2 linked regions of the Pelodiscus sinensis genome follow. The protein of the gene in region 2 interacts with the protein of the main gene of each other region in a pairwise test. Links are inferred from orthologs where the notes say so. Each region holds a gene or a part of one and is shown on either strand. Other genes may lie near its edges.

Evidence for each region. The genes of interacting proteins can lie anywhere in the genome.
Region 1: the proteins of SDCBP2 (region 2) and PRR13 interact in binary tests that used the Homo sapiens proteins (3 or more experiments, as listed by UniProt). The two-hybrid records come from large-scale screens. The link is inferred for Pelodiscus sinensis from reciprocal best matches to the Homo sapiens genes SDCBP2 and PRR13.

Annotation. Positions count from the first base shown.
Region 1 is NC_134729.1:335,746-343,539, forward strand, and holds the start of PRR13 (proline-rich protein 13), read left to right. Parts: upstream 1-4,788; 5' UTR 4,789-4,901; intron 4,902-7,330; 5' UTR 7,331-7,357; coding exon 7,358-7,376; intron 7,377-7,794. Other genes in the region: AMHR2 (anti-Muellerian hormone type-2 receptor), read left to right, coding at 577-713, 1,011-1,199. UniProt on the Homo sapiens protein: Negatively regulates TSP1 expression at the level of transcription. This down-regulation was shown to reduce taxane-induced apoptosis.
Region 2 is NC_134728.1:2,655,406-2,662,406, forward strand, and holds the start of SDCBP2 (syntenin-2), read right to left. Parts: upstream 3,011-7,001; 5' UTR 2,775-3,010; intron 1-2,774.

The sequences.
Region 1 (7,794 bases), on a different chromosome or scaffold from region 2:
CCCCTCCGCCTGCCTGGGGGGGCACCGGCAAATCAACGGGCTGGGAACGCTGCCACCTGGTGGAGGTTTGAAGAAATCTCTCTCCTCTCTCTGCGGGGGGGGGAGGGGGCTGCACATCCCTGCACTCCGGATACAGGGCCCTGATTCTCATTGACCCCCTTCCTGCTCGGGACAGGCCTGTGCTCCCTGCAGTCTGGGCCCAGTCCCCCCCCCAGCGCTGGTGCAGCCTTGGGGCTGCTCTGACTCACTCCCTGCTCCCCTGAGCCCTGGGAGGCAGGGAGCAGAGACCTCACGCCAGCCCCGCACCAACAGCGGGGGGGGGAGACTCTCCAGGGGCCCCCCTGCCTCCCCAGGACGGCCCCTCAGTGTGGCCAGTGCATGCCGAGAACCAGGGCCTTTGGCTCTAAGGAGAATCCCTATTAGCTGGCAGCAGTAGTTGGGCTTTTATCCGCTCTGCTGGCTGGTCGCTTGAGGGTGACGCACTCACACTGAGCCAGGGGCTAGTACCCAGGGCGTCGTGGGGCAGGGCTGGCAGGAGCCATTTCACCCCATGTGCCCCATTTTCTCCTCCCCCAGACTGCGGGGCCCCCCCCTTCCAGCTGGCCTACGAGGCGGAGCTGGGCAGCAGCCCCACGTATGACGAGCTGCGGCGCCTGGCAGTGGAGGAGAGGAGGCGGCCAGCCATCCCCGACGCCTGGAGGCGGGCAGGCCAGGTGCTGGGGCTTGGGGGGGGCAGGGACAATGGGGACGGGGAGGGGGACACGAGTGGGCAGGGATGAGGGAGGGAGGACGCTGCCCATTTAAAGGGCCGGCGCCCAATACGTCTCTGTAGCGTCACTCCCCCAGCTCAAGACCCTTTGGTGACCCGCCCCCGGCTTTCCAGTCCTGCCCTCAGGCCACGGGTGGGGGGGGTCTTGTCTCTGCTGTGGGAGGTTACCTTGCGGGCGACTCCACCAGCCAGGCCTGCCCAGGCCCTGAGAGACCCCCTCTGCTCTCCTCTCCTGCCCCAGGTCTCCGTCGGCCTGCGGGAGCTGCTGGAGGACTGCTGGGACCCCGATCCCGAGGCCCGGCTGACGGCAGAGTGCACCCGCCAGCGGCTCCAGAGCCTGGGGGCTGAGTGGTCAGCAGGGGGCGCTGAGCTGGCCAAGGTGCTGCCCCCGGGACACGGTGCCTGGGAACGGTCCCTGGGCTGGTGCTGACGGAGGAAGAGGGACGTGGGGGGCAGGGACAGCGAAGTGCCCCCGGCTGCTCCACGCCCGGCTCCTGTTGTCCAGACCCCCCCCCCATCACCCCTGCTGGATGGGATCGGCGCTGCCTGAGCAGGCTGCCCCCTAGTGGAGCTGACACGACTCTTCTCCATCCCCCGGGTGCCCATCCGGCCAGTGAGCCGGCCTGCAGGCCACCTGGCCAGAAGCTATGGCCGTGGGCGTGTGCCCCACATCAAAGGGTCGAGCCCCCGTGCGGCTTAGCCACAGATTTCTGTGTGGTCGGCTCTTATCTTCATTGAATCGTGTCCTGTCTTCCGGGTCCAGGCCTCAGGGTGGCTCTCACTTACACGCCGCTCCCTTGGGCCCTGGGAGGCAGCCACTCCCGTACCACAGTATGGTGCTTTGGCCAGGCTCCTGATCTTCCTGGCTCTGGGCTGTGGGGTTGACACTCAGGAAGCGGGACTGACTGCTCCCTGAGCCCCAAAGTGCTTGCAGTGATGGCCACTGGGTGGGAAGGGAAACTGAGGCACCGAGCAGCAAAGCCCCTTGCCGCCATGCAGCTGAGCCTGAAGCCTAGTCTACTAAGAACATGAGAGCGGCCAGACGGGGTCAGACCAAAGGTCCATCCAGCCCCGTGTCCTGTCTGCCCCCAGTGGCCAATGCCAGGTGCCCCAGAGGGAGTGAACCGAACAGGCAATGATCAAGCGACCTCTCTCCTGCCATCCATCTCCACCCTCTGACACACAGAGCCTAGCGACACCATTCCTTACCCAGCCTGGCTAGTAGCCATTAATGGACCTAACATCCATGAATGTATCTAGTTCTCTTTTAAACCCTGTTTAGTCCTGGCCTTCACAACCTCCTCAGGCAGGGAGTTCCACAGGTTGACAATGCACTGTGTGAAGAAGAACTTCCTTGTATTTGTTTTAAACCTGCTGCCCATTAGTTTCATTTGGTGGCCCCTAGTTCTTATGTGATGGGAACAAGTAAATAACTTTTCCTTATTCACTTTCTCCACACCACTCAGGATTTTATAGACCTCGATCCTACCTCCTCTTAGTCTCCTCTTTTCCAAGCTGAAAAGTCCCAGTCTCTTTAATCTCTCCTCCTATGAGACCCGTTCCAAACCCCTCATCATTTTAGTTGCCCTTCTCTGAACCTTTTCTAATGCCAGTCTATCTTTTTTGAGGTGAGGAGACCACATCTGTACACAGTATTCAAGATGTGGGCGTCCCATGGATTTATATAGGGCCATAAGATATTCTCCGTCTTATTCTCTATCCCTTTTTAAATGATTCCTAACACCCTGTTTGCTTTTTTGACTGCCGCTGCTCACTGCGTGGACGTCTTCAAAGAACTGTCCACGATGACTCCAAGATCTCTTTCCTGATTAGTTGTAGCCAAATTAGCCCCCATCATATTGTATTATATATTGGGGTTATTTTTTCCAGTGTGCATTACTTTACATTTCTCCACATTAAATTTCATTTGCCATTGTGTTGCCCAGTCACTTAGTTTGGTGAGATCTTTTTGAAGTTGACGGGCGAGCTAAGACGGGCCCGCGGGCTCCCCTGGTGTCAGGGGATGTGGGGCCTGGAGCCCGTCTGATCCACTGCCGCAGGATGCGCATAGATCGGTGTTGCCCCCTTTAGCCTTGTCTGCGCCTCCTCAGTGCTGGGGCCAGGACTGAGCTGGGGGGATCAGGGGTCAAGTGGCGGCAGAGACAGAGGGGGTGGAGGCAGGACTAGAGGCGGAGTCAGTAGGGACTGGGTGTCACTCTCCCCCTTCCCCCCCACTCCGGGGTGACTCCTGAGGATCCGCTGGGGCCCTCGCACGTCGCAGGGCTAGCTCTGGGCTCTGCTACCTCCCCCTTAGTTCCCCGGGCGGGTTGCCTTGCAGTTTGGGGTCCTCTTGCCTAGTTTCTCAGGCCCAAAGGCCCACCTGTGATCGTCTCAGCTGCCTGCCCACCACCGGCCGGCACGGCCCTGAGTTACCTCCCACCTGGAGCAGCGGGGCCGTTAGGAAATCGTCCCCTCACGTTAACTCTGCCCCTGGTGAGGAGCCCCCCACGACGCAGGCCCCTGTTAGGCCCTCGCCTGCCCTATCGGCCCCGAGCCTCAGCCTGAAATCCCCCCTCCAGCCGTCCCTTGGCTGCACAGCCAGCCCCAGCTCCGGAGTCTCTGTCCAGAAGGCCGGTCCCCCCACAGCGTCCAGGAGGCTGGTCCCTGCAGCCGGGCGGAGCGTCAGGACTGTGGGGGGTGGAGAGTGGGGGGCGCAGGACTCAGGGCTGCTTTCCAGAGCTCAGCCCCACAGGAATCCAGCCCGTAATTTCTCCAGCACTGCGAACCTCTTACCAGCGGGAGCCAGAGCCCCTAGGGAGCTCAGCGTCCCTTCCAGGCCAGGGTTTACAGCGGTCCCGTCTCAGAAACCTCAGGGTCAGTCTGTGTCTATAACACAGCCATTACAGCTGGGTCCTGCCCTCCCCTGCCCACTAGGGCCCACTCCCCTTCGTGGGCCAGGGAGAGAACCCAGGAGTCCTGCCGCCCAGTCATCTGCTCCAGCCAGCCTGCAAACAGCCCAATGACTAAAACTTTTCCAGTTTTCCCCAGAGATTCCTCCACATCCCTCCCCCCCCCCGTAGGCCCAGCGCCCCGCTGCCCAATATCCTGGGCAGAGCAGGCTCCTTAAGGCCCTGGGTGCGGCTGCCAGGTGAGCCTGGCTTTCCCGCAGCGGCGTCAGAGCTGTGTGACTGGGCTGCGTTCCAGGACCGGCCTGTGCCCTTGGGACACACCCACGGCTCGATACTGACGAATCTCTCCAGGCCAGGCCCTGGTGCCAGTGTGTGTTGGGGGCAGGGCTGTCCCAGAGGGGTGCCCCCTAAGCTTTGTCTCCCACCGATTCGCTCCTGCACCTCGCAGAGCCTCTGGGCAGCTTCATGGGCTGATGAAGAGCACAAAGGTGAGGGCTAGCGGGGGGAGGTCTCTGCCCCACCCCTGTTGTCACCGCTTCCCATCTGGGCGCCGGACACGTCAGCAGGTTTTATCCTCCCGCCCCGTGGGACATGAGCCTCATTTATGGGTGGGGAAACTGAGGCCCAGGGCGGACTCTATGGCTTGCCCCAGGTCACCCGGGACGAACGTGGCGGAGGCAAGACTGTGCTCCAGATCTTCAGGCTGGTGGCCCACCCTTCCTCCTGCGCAGGGTGGATTTCCAGTGTGAGACGGGAGCCCGAATATTTCTTCGCCACCTCCTCTCTGAGGCACCTCTCCAGCATTAGCGGGTGAACCTCCCGAGCGTCGTCCGCCCCCCGCCCTGCCGTGCCCTGCTCCCACGGTGGAGGGGCGATGGTACCCCTGGCGGGGAAACTGAGGCACAGCCACCCGCAAACCCCTCAGACGCTGCGGCTGCTGCTCCCGGAGTTTGCCCCGCGCCCCCGAGGCCGGGCCAGGCGACCCCCGGGAGACTCCAGCAGCCTGAGGCCCGAGCCCATCGCTAACCGCTAGGGCGCGCTGCCCTGCCGCCCCCCCACCCCTCGGGGTAGAACCCAGGAGTCCGGGCCTGGCCCCGCCCCCTCCCGCTGCCTGCCCGCGGGGGGCGGGGCCACCGGGCGGTGACGGACAGTCACGGGGGGCGGGGCCACCGCGCTCCAGGAAGCCGGCGGGGCTCAGCTGGGCAGCGCGGTGCCGAGTCGAGGTGAGTGAGGGGGGGCGGGTGTCTGTGTGTCCCCCCCCCACTGTGCCCCCCTGCACCTCCCGTCCCCTTCCCCCCGTGCCCCCCTGCACCTCCCGTCCCCCCCCCGTGCCCCCCTGCACCCCCCCTCCCCCCTCTGTGCCCCCTGCACCCCCCGTCCCCTCCCCCCTCTGTGCCCCCTGCACCGTGCCCCCCTGCACCCCCCGTCCCCTCCCCCCTCTGTGCCCCCTGCACCCCCCCGTCCCCTCCCCCCCGTGTCTCCCTGCACCCCCCCGTCCCCTCCCCCCTGTGTCCCCCTGCACCTCCCGTCCCCTCCCCCCTCTGTGCCCCCTGCACCGTGCCCCCCTGCACCCCCCGTCCCCTCCCCCCCTGTGTCCCCCTGCACCTCCCGTCCCCTCCCCCCTCTGTGCCCCCTGCACCGTGCCCCCCTGCACCCCCCGTCCCCTCCCCCTCCCCCCTCTGTCCCCCTGCACCCCCCCGTCCCCTCCCCCCTGTGTCCCCCCTCCCCCCCCGCCCGTCCCTGTGTGTACGCGTATCCCCTGCCCTGCCAGTCAGGACCCATCCAGCCCTTCCCCCCCCCCTAACTCCTGCGCCCCAGAGCCGACTCTCCTCTGCTGTAGGCGGCTAGATCGGTTCGGCTCCGGCGTGGCCCCCCCGGGCTGTGGGTGCGCACCGCGTTGCTGAGCCCCGGCCCCGCTTGCAGAGCGCCACGGGCGGGGCGCTCCGCCTGCCCTTGGACCCTGCGCGGGCGGGGCGGCCGGTTCCGCTTGGCTCGGGGCGGCTCCTGTGCAGAGGGCGGGGGCTGGGAACGGGGGGGGGAATTGCAAAGCGCTGTCCCCTGAATGGACCCCCCCCGGCCCGGGGGGGCTGACACCGAACTGCCCCTGCTCGGGGGGGGGCTGACACTGAACTGCCCCTGCTGGGGGGGGGGGCTGACACCGAACTGCCCCTGCTTGGGGGGGCCTGACACTGAACTGCCCCTGCTCGGGGGGCGGGCGGGGCTGACACTGAACTGCCCCTGCTGGGGGGGCGGGGGGGGCTGACACTGAACTGCCCCTGCTGGGGGATGGCGGGGGGGGGCTGACACCGAACTGCCCCTGCTCGGGGGGGCGGCGGGGGGGGCTGACACTGAACTGCCCCTGCTGGGGGGGGGCTGACACTGAACTGCCCCTGCTGGGGGGGGGCGGCGGGGGGCTGACACTGAACTGCCCCTGCTGGGGGGGGCGGGGGGGGCTGACACTGAACTGCCCCTGCTCGGGGGGCGGGGGGGGCTGACACTGAACTGCCCCTGCTGGGGGGGGCGGGGGGGGGCTGACACTGAACTGCCCCTGCTGCGGGGGGCGGGGGGAGCTGACACTGAACTGCCCCTGCTCGGGGGGGTGGAGGGGAGCTGACACTGAACTGCCCCTGCTGGGGGGCGGGGGGGGGCTGACACTGAACTGCCCCTGCTGGGGGGCGGGGGGGGGGGCTGACACTGAACTGCCCCTGCTGGGGGGCGGGGGGGGGCTGACACCGAACTGCCCCTGCTGGGGGGGGCGGGGGGGGGCTGACACCGAACTGCCCCTGCTGGGGGGGGCGGGGGGGGCTGACACCGAACTGCCCCTGCTCGGGGGGGGCGGGGGGGGGCTGACACCGAACTGCCCCTGCTGGGGGGGCGGGGGGGGGCTGACACCGAACTGCCCCTGCTGGGGGGCGGGGGGGGGCTGACACCGAACTGCCCCTGCTCGGGGGGGCGGGGGGGGGCTGACACCGAACTGCCCCTGCTCGGGGGGGCGGGGGGGGCTGACACCGAACTGCCCCTGCTCGGGGGGGCGGGGGGGGCTGACACCGAACTGCCCCTGCTCGGGGGGGCGGGGGGGGGCTGACACCGAACTGCCCCTGCTGGGGGGCGGGGGGGGCTGACACCGAACTGCCCCTGCTCGGGGGGGCGGGGGGGGCTGACACTGAACTGCCCCTGCTGGGGGGGGCGGGGGGGGGCTGACACTGAACTGCCCCTGCTGGGGGGGGCGGGGGGGGGCTGACACTGAACTTCCGCCGGCTCCGAGCCCCCAGGCCACGTTGTCCGACCCGGGGCTGGGGCTCCAGGGGAGAAAGCGGCAGCTGCTGCCTCCTGCCGGTCGCCCCTGTGCCTGGGGCCCGCGGGGCGGGAGGGGACCAGGGCCCTGACCCCCCCGTGGCGGCCGTGGGGCCGGTGGCTGAGCGCTGCGCTAGCAGACCCCTGCCAGGGGACCTGGGGCAAATCGCTGCCCCTCTCCGGACTCCCCTTCCGCCCTTTGTTGCCAGGGCTGGACCCCCAGGCTGTGTTGCCAGCGGGGCGCCCGGGTCTAGGCAGGCAGCAGCCTCAAGGGTGGGCCCTGATCTCCTTTAGGGCCCCCCCCTGCCCGAGGCCTGGCTGACCCCCGCTTTGCCTCACAGCCTCTCTCCCCCTCCAGGTGACCGGAGACGCCTCCTCTCTGAGCATGTGGGATCCCAACGCAGGTGAGGGGTGCTGGGCGCGCTGGCGGGGTTCTCCGCTGCTCCTCTGGCCTCCCCTCTGACGCTCGCCTGCTCTCTGCCCCAGCAGGGCCCCTCCAAAGCGGCAGGTTTGGCGCTCGCCCGGCGCGGCGTGGCTGCTCCCTGGGAAGGGGGCTGGGGGCAGATTCGGCAGGACGCTGCAGAGTGCAAGGGGGAAGATTCCCGCTCCTGAGCTGGTCTTTTCCCGTGACCCTCTGAGGAGCGGCCCCCGGCTGTGGAGTGAAACAGGATTAGCTGCCCAGGCCGCAGGGATCCCCCCAAGGGCCGGGGCTCTCACGGTGAAAAGGCTGCTCTCCTAGCTGCACCAGGCCGTCACTCCGCCTCCGTCCGCTTGCCGGGAGTTTGCGTAACTCTCTCCCCGAGGGCTCCCGGGCCACCCTGG
Region 2 (7,001 bases):
GAGAGCTACAGCAGGGGTCTCAAACAATTCATCTCAGGGCCATTTCTCAGGTTCTCGTGGGCCACCTCCCCCCAACTCCGGCAATGGCTCTGGGAGGCGGGGAGGATGTCCCACACACACCTGTCTCCCAGCCCTGCCTGCCAGCCTGCGCTCTTCCCGCACCCCGCGTGTCCCCCAGCCCTGTCTGTGCCCCCTTCTCCCCCAGCACTGGCAGTCCATGGGGCTAGAGACAGTTCTTGCTGCGAGCTCCGTGTCGCTCCTGGCACGTGGGGGATGCAGGGGACGCAGAGCTGCCCCACCCATGGGATGGCTCAGCGTGGCCGGCTCAGGCCCCACAGTGGCCACACCCCACCCCACCCGGCTGCCCCACCCAACCTGGGGACAGGATGGGTCCCATACACAGGTTAGCCCGGGAGGCTGCTGCATCACTCCACTTCCCCACGGCTCCCACCACCGCAGTGTGGGGGAGCAGGGGCTGACCCCAGCTGTCCCCCTGCCAGGCCACCAGAGGCTGCGTCTGATGGGGGAGGAGTTTGCGGAAAGGGATGCTATTGGGGGAGGGAGAGGGCACAGCAGGGGTGGGAAGAGGGTGGGGGTGGAGCAGGGGCTGGACTTGGGGGAGGGTACAGACAGCCCTTCAGGGCTGCAAGGATTCCTGTGCCGGCAGCCGGACTGGGGCGGTGGGTGGCCCTCCAGGGACACCGGCACTGGCCATAGCGCAGTTTCATGGCAAGTCCCGGTCTGACGGCAAAGCACACGCTGCTGCGAGCCCGGCGGGTGTCTCTCTGGGCAGAGCTGTCAGACCAGAGCCCCCCGACGGCTGCGTCCCACCCACAGAGAACCCCACAAAACCAGCTGTGTGCTGCATCAGGGCCCTCCCCGCGACACTGACAGAGGGGCCCAGACTCCAGTGGCACCGAGATCAAATGGGATCCTCCTCTCCTGCGACTGAGGCCTACTCCTGCCGGCGGACCCCAGGCCGGACTCCCGGGACCTGCAGCTGGAGTGCTGGGAAACCGAGCAGGGAAGGTGGAAGACACAAGACCCTGCTTGACTCAGCCGTGTAGCTTTACTTGTTGCCCTTCCTGCGGGCTGGCCTGAACCTCCCCTGCAGAGTGCGGCCAGTTCCCAGCGGGTGCAAAGGAGGGCAGCTTTCCAAGTTACGCCGGGGAAGAATCTGGCCTCTGGCACGTTCTGAAACTAGCGTAGGAGGCAGGGACGTGAGCCAGACGCCTAGCTTCCACTGAAGCGTGGATCTGAGCCAGGGGCCCTGCCCCCTGGATCTGTCCAGCCTGGTGTTAAACACCCCAGAGAGGCAGGAGGTGGCTCTCTTCCCACCCACGTCCTTAGGAAACAGCTGATCTGATAGCAAAGACTGGCCCAGCCCAGCTCATGTCACGCTGTCGTCAGCCAGCCACGGTCCGACCCGCGACGGCTCTGTGTGTGTGTGTGTGGGGGGGGGGGGATTGCTCAAGTCAGGATTAGTCAGAGCCAACTAGACGGTGTTCCGGAGCCCTGGCCGTCTGTTTCCCCACTGGCAGGGCTGCGGGTTGCAAAGGCAGGCAGGGAAACAGAGCTTAGCTCCGAGAACACGACCCCCCGAGATCAGGCTTGCCGGGAACGGTGGAGTCAATGCCAGGATTCTACGTGCAGGATCTCAAAACAGGAGCACATGCCAGAGGCCAGCCGCAGTCAAGAGAAATAGCATCACCTTGGGTCTGGGGGCCCCCCACTCCGCCCTGCCTCGGCACCTGCCCCAGTGCCCAGGAGTTCAGAGGTAGCGAGACAGGCAGTGCCGGGCATATGGAAACTAGCCCCCAACCTCAGCTGGGCAAATGTCATGGCCTTCCCCAGCCCAGAAACTTTGGGACCCAGCCAGGGTGCAGTCAAGTCAGTGACCGGGTGACTCCCGAGGGAGCAGAACCGGGTGACTCCCCAGCGGATGGAAAATGTAGCGGAACCCCCCCACTCCCACCGCGTCCTAGCATCTCTCCGCCCGATTCGGACGCGCCAGGACGGCCACAAAGCGAAGCAGATCCCAGAGCGATTTCCCAACACGGGGAGCAGCGCTCCCTTCCCACGAGCCCCCAGGCTCCACAGCAACGTCGCCCTCTGGGGCAAAGGGGTGTGGAAATCGTCAGAGCCCAGCTGGACTCCATGGGCCTTGGACAATTTGCATTAGCGGGGAACCTGTCTCCAGAGGTGTCAGTGCCCAGGGCCCACGGCGGGGCCCCGAGGCTCTCAGCAGCCGGTGTGCACCCCAGGCGATGCCCCCTTTGGAAAAACTGGCCCCCATCCTGTTGTGAAGTGGGTACCTGGGGGTCACCCTGGTCCCAGTGGAAATGCTGCTGCCAGGGATCAGAACCTGGGCCTATCATGTGCTCAGTTACAACAAGCGAAAGCCCAATTTAAAAAATCAACAGCCGGTGTCCCCTCCCGCCCCTGCCACCCACCCCCTGGCCAAACAGCACAGGGCGGAGCAGCCCAGCAAGGAGGACCAGCCTCTCCCAGAGTCGAATGCAGACCTGGGATGATTTCGATGGGGCTGGTCCTGCTATGGGCGGGGGGCTGGACTCGAGGACTCCTGAGGCCCCTTCCAGCCCTGGGATACTACGACTAACTGGGCTGACTTGGAGCCCATCACACGCCCCAGGATTTGATTCCCAACCCTGCGGACGCCAAACACCCCAAAGAAGGGGAAGTGGAGTGGGGGAAGCAGGGTGACACTTCACACATCCCACCCACAGCCATGCAGAAGGGGCATCCCTCCTTACCTGTGGGACAGCTCCGGAGCAGGTGTCTTCTCCTGCACGCTCTACCTGCCTCTCCCACGGGCCGGTGACTTTATAAGAGCAGGTGCTGCCTGTCTGGGCGGGGCCTCGCCCTATCAGCTGACCTGGCCGTCAGCAGATTGGAATTCGGCAGCCCAGGGAACAGGCAGGTGCCGGAGAGAGAGAGGAAGTCTTCCTCCATCCAGGCTCAATGTTGGCGAAAGGTGCTAGGATCAGGGGTTTTTTTGTGACGGTACTGCCCAGGACACTGTACTGGAACCTCCAGTCAGCGCTTACCTGGAAAGAACAGAGCATAAGCATACCAGCACCTCTCTACAGGCAAATGTTCGACAGTCGGCTGGGCCGTGTGTCTTAAAGGGGCTGCTTGTCTTAAAAGGGCAAGGCCGGCCCCACCCCATCTTTTTTTTTTGCTCAACAACTGGAGTACTGGCACTTTTTTTTTTTAAACAAAATAAGCACTGGCTAGGATCACCCATGCCCAAAGTCTGTGAAGCAGGGCATCTGCGCCTCAGGCTGCTCTGCGCAGGCATCTGGAGTCCCCGCCTCTTGGGGGCATCGTTTCCACCATCGCTCCTAGCATGCGGGTCACTGGCCCGAAAATGGCCCAGGGGCTCAGGGTGTAGATGGGAGGCAGGTTCTAAACTGGAGAACGGCTTCCCTGAGCTCGGGGTGGGGAACCTAAGGCTAGGAGCTGGATCCAGCCCTCGACTTGTCTGGAGCCAGCTCTCCCGGCACCCTTGCAGCATTGGGGAGCCGGTGCTGGCACTCCAGCCCTGCAGCCTCGTTGCCCCGAGCCTCGCTGGAGTCAGGCAAGCCTGGAGCTGGGTCCAGCCCTCAGACTCTGCCTGGCAGGGGGAGGAAGTGGCTCCAAGCGCTGCCCCTCCCCCTCCCCTGGGCTGGGGAAATGGCAGCACAGACCACCCCCCCTCCCAATGCCCAGCCTGCTCCTGCACCCTCCTCCCCCCCCACATCCTCAGCCCCCACTCTGCTCCTGCCCCCCACCTTCCCTGCTCAGCCTGCTCCTGCACCTTCCCACTCAGGCACCACACTCCACATGCGCTTCCCAGCAGCCCCCCCCACACACACACACATTGAACCCCTCCCTGTTTTGGCCCCCACCCCAGAGCCTATGGGGGGGCACAAAAATCTACTAGCCTGCCCCCCTGCCAGCTGTGTGTGAGGGGAGCGTGAGGAGGGTCTTTCAGTTGCAGGTGAGGGGTTTTTCCTTCTCACTTGTGTGCAGCCCCTGACTGATTTTCCTGTGGAACAGAGGCCTCCCACCCCAAAAAATCCCCCCCCCGTCCTATCTGCAAGGTCAACATCAAGCACAGGGGCAGCGCGGCCTAGCGGGTGAGGATACAGAGCAGGGACCAGGGCTGACTCCCGGCTCTGCTCTCTGCCTTGTGGCCTTGAGTATGTCACCTCCCAGCTGCAGGCTGGGGTCGCTGCTCCTGCCCATCGTTCCCTCGCCTCAGCCCAGTCCGCTACGAATCCCTCCCGCCGCCGTGTGACCCTCTGGGACAAATTCAAAGCTGCTGCGAGGCCTTGGTCCTCCCTGAGAGCCTGGTTGCCGCTGGCAACCGCTGCCCGGCGTTGGCTAGCACATCGCACAGCCTGGGCCCCAGCGGCAACCAGACCCACAAGCTTGGCCAGCATGGCGATCGGAGCCTCCGCCCCCCGGATGAGAGGAGAGCTCATGTGGCGCTTGGTCCAGGGGTGCAGGATACGGACACAGCCAGGGGCTGTTAATACTGGCACTGCCTGGGCCGCTGAAGGGGAGACCGGCCCGGCCAATTCCATTGGCTTGAAAGGGCCCCGTCTGCAGCCAGGGGCCAGGTGACCCTGGAGACCCCATGACGACAGGGTGTTTGCAATGCTCAGTGCTGCATGGCCACGGTGAGGGGCTGCGAGTCACCGTGTTACGCCAGCTGATGGGAGCCTTGCTTGGGCTTGGCGGGGTGCAGGCTGGCCAAGGGGGGGGGCGAGGGGGGCGGCAATTCAAAGGGGCCCAGGGTTCTTGGTTAAGTCATTGGCACAATGTGGATGGGGCGGGGACTGCAGCGAGCTGGCTGCCTCAGCCCCGCCCCTTCCACCTGAGGCCCCGCCCCTTTCTGGGAGAGCCGAGCCCTCCACCTTATTTAGGGGCCCATGGCGGCTGTCAGCCCCGCTGGCTGGGTGGCAGAACCTGCCGCCAGCAGCCTGTCAGCCAACCACCTCTTCTGGGCCATCCCAGGCTCGCCTTGCAGATCAACAATTTGCACCCGGAGTCCCTTTGCCGCGTCTCCCTGGGACATCCCAGCCCCTCACCCTGGCCACGCCCAGAAATCCCAGCTCCTCTGCCTCCAAAGGGCCTGAGCACCCAGCGTCTGCCTGAGATCCCAGTCCCTGTGCGGAGCCCTGGGGAGCCCTTGCAATGACACCCCCGGGGGCTGCGTTATGGGAAGAGAAACCTTCAACCAAAACTAAGAGGCTGGTGCACGCCACTGGCTACGATTCAAAAGAACAGACCAGCCTGGCCTGACGCTCCTGGGACCCCTTTCCTAGCTAACAAGGCAGGTGCCCCCCAATACCGTTTGCTGCTGAGCAGCCTGGCTTCCCAGGAGCCAGCGCCCAAAAGCTCAAGAAAACTGCCCTGCCCCCCAACGGGCTCCTGAGTGAAAGGAGACAGGGAGCCCGTCCTCCGCTGGCTTACGCTGACACGCCCGCGGCTTGTTGTGTTTCCTTTATCACCTGCCCCCTGGCTTTGCGTGTTTGCCATTGCCACAGATGGGGTTTTGCCAACATATTGCGCAAGGCCACACAAAGGTGAGACCAACACCCTACCCGAATGGGCCGGCGCGGAGACACGTCGTCCCCAGGGACTCTCTGCTACCCCCAGACAGCACAGTCTCAATAGAACGACAGGCCTGGCAGAACCTCTGAAAACCGGGATGCTCTGGTCTGGCAACTCCCTGGCAGGACCCCACAGCTGTTCCTAGGCCAGGCAGCCCCAATGGAGGGGACTCAGCCAGCGGGAGGGACTGGCCGGGAGCCAGGCCGCAGGGCAGCGGGGCAGGTGGTGGCAGCCATGGGGCAGGTTTGGCAGCAGCTGTGGGGCAGCCTGGACTGGAGCCGGTGGCAGTCCCGGGCCAGCAGCCACTAGCAGCCTGAGCAGGTCATTGGCCAGGAACCCAGCAGGGCGGGATCGGCCAGTTCAGGGCAGGATCGGCCAGTTCAGGGCGTGGCGGAGGCGGCAGGTTGGCAGCTGGGCCAGAATTGACCTCTCTTGGCCCGGCAAAATCCCTCCTCCGGGACCAGCCAGGTGCCGAGGGTGCTGGAGCAGGGAGTCCGACCTGCAGCCCCTCAGTCTTATCCGCGCACGCGACCTGCAGCCCTTTCTGCAGTGACTCCCTGGCTGACTAGCCAGCCAGACGTGCTCGGGGCTGAGCTGAGAGTTGTTTGCAAAGCTTAGGGGATCCTTGGGCACAGGGTCGGTCTGACACCCTGACACTGATGCAGCAGGACAGGATAGTGGTTAGGCTACAAGCGCAGGCCTGGGCTCGCTTTTCCGGCCAGGGAGTCTCCTACCCTGTTTTCTTTCCATTTGCAGGACACAGGCGCCTGCTGTTCCTGCTAAGCTCCAGTGCATCGCCGCAAATGGGTTCCTTGGGGCTGGACGGGGGGGGGGGGGGGGGGGGGGAGGGGCGGGAGGCAGGATCTGACAACACCCACGCTTGACTGTGGAACAGCTACCGGCTTCACGGTTTGCCTGCCCCTTGGTACTGGCGTTCCCTAACAGAGTAGCTTTGTACAGTCGCGGGTGGGGGCGGAGGGTGCAAGAATGTAGCGAGGTCTTTCTTGTGGCTCTGTGCATTGTCCCTGGCACTGAACACAACTGTGTCCAGCTCCCTGTCAGTGGCACATCCCAAAAGTTAATTAAGCCTCGCCACCCCCGGGGAAGGCAGCACGACTAAACCCATTCTACAGGTGGCAAAACTGAGCCGCCGCCGGCTGCACAGACATCCGCGGCCGAGTTAAGAACAGGGCCCAGGAGTCTGCATGATGCTCCAGCCTGGCTCTGGAGATGGGGATGGGCATCTGGGTCTGATACCACCAGGTGAGCGGTCACAGGCCTTCCCCGCAGCAGCCCGCGTCGCAGCCAAAGTACAGATTCCACGAGCCCTTTGCATCCAGGAAGAAAATCAGTCGCCTTCCTCGCAGATACTCATG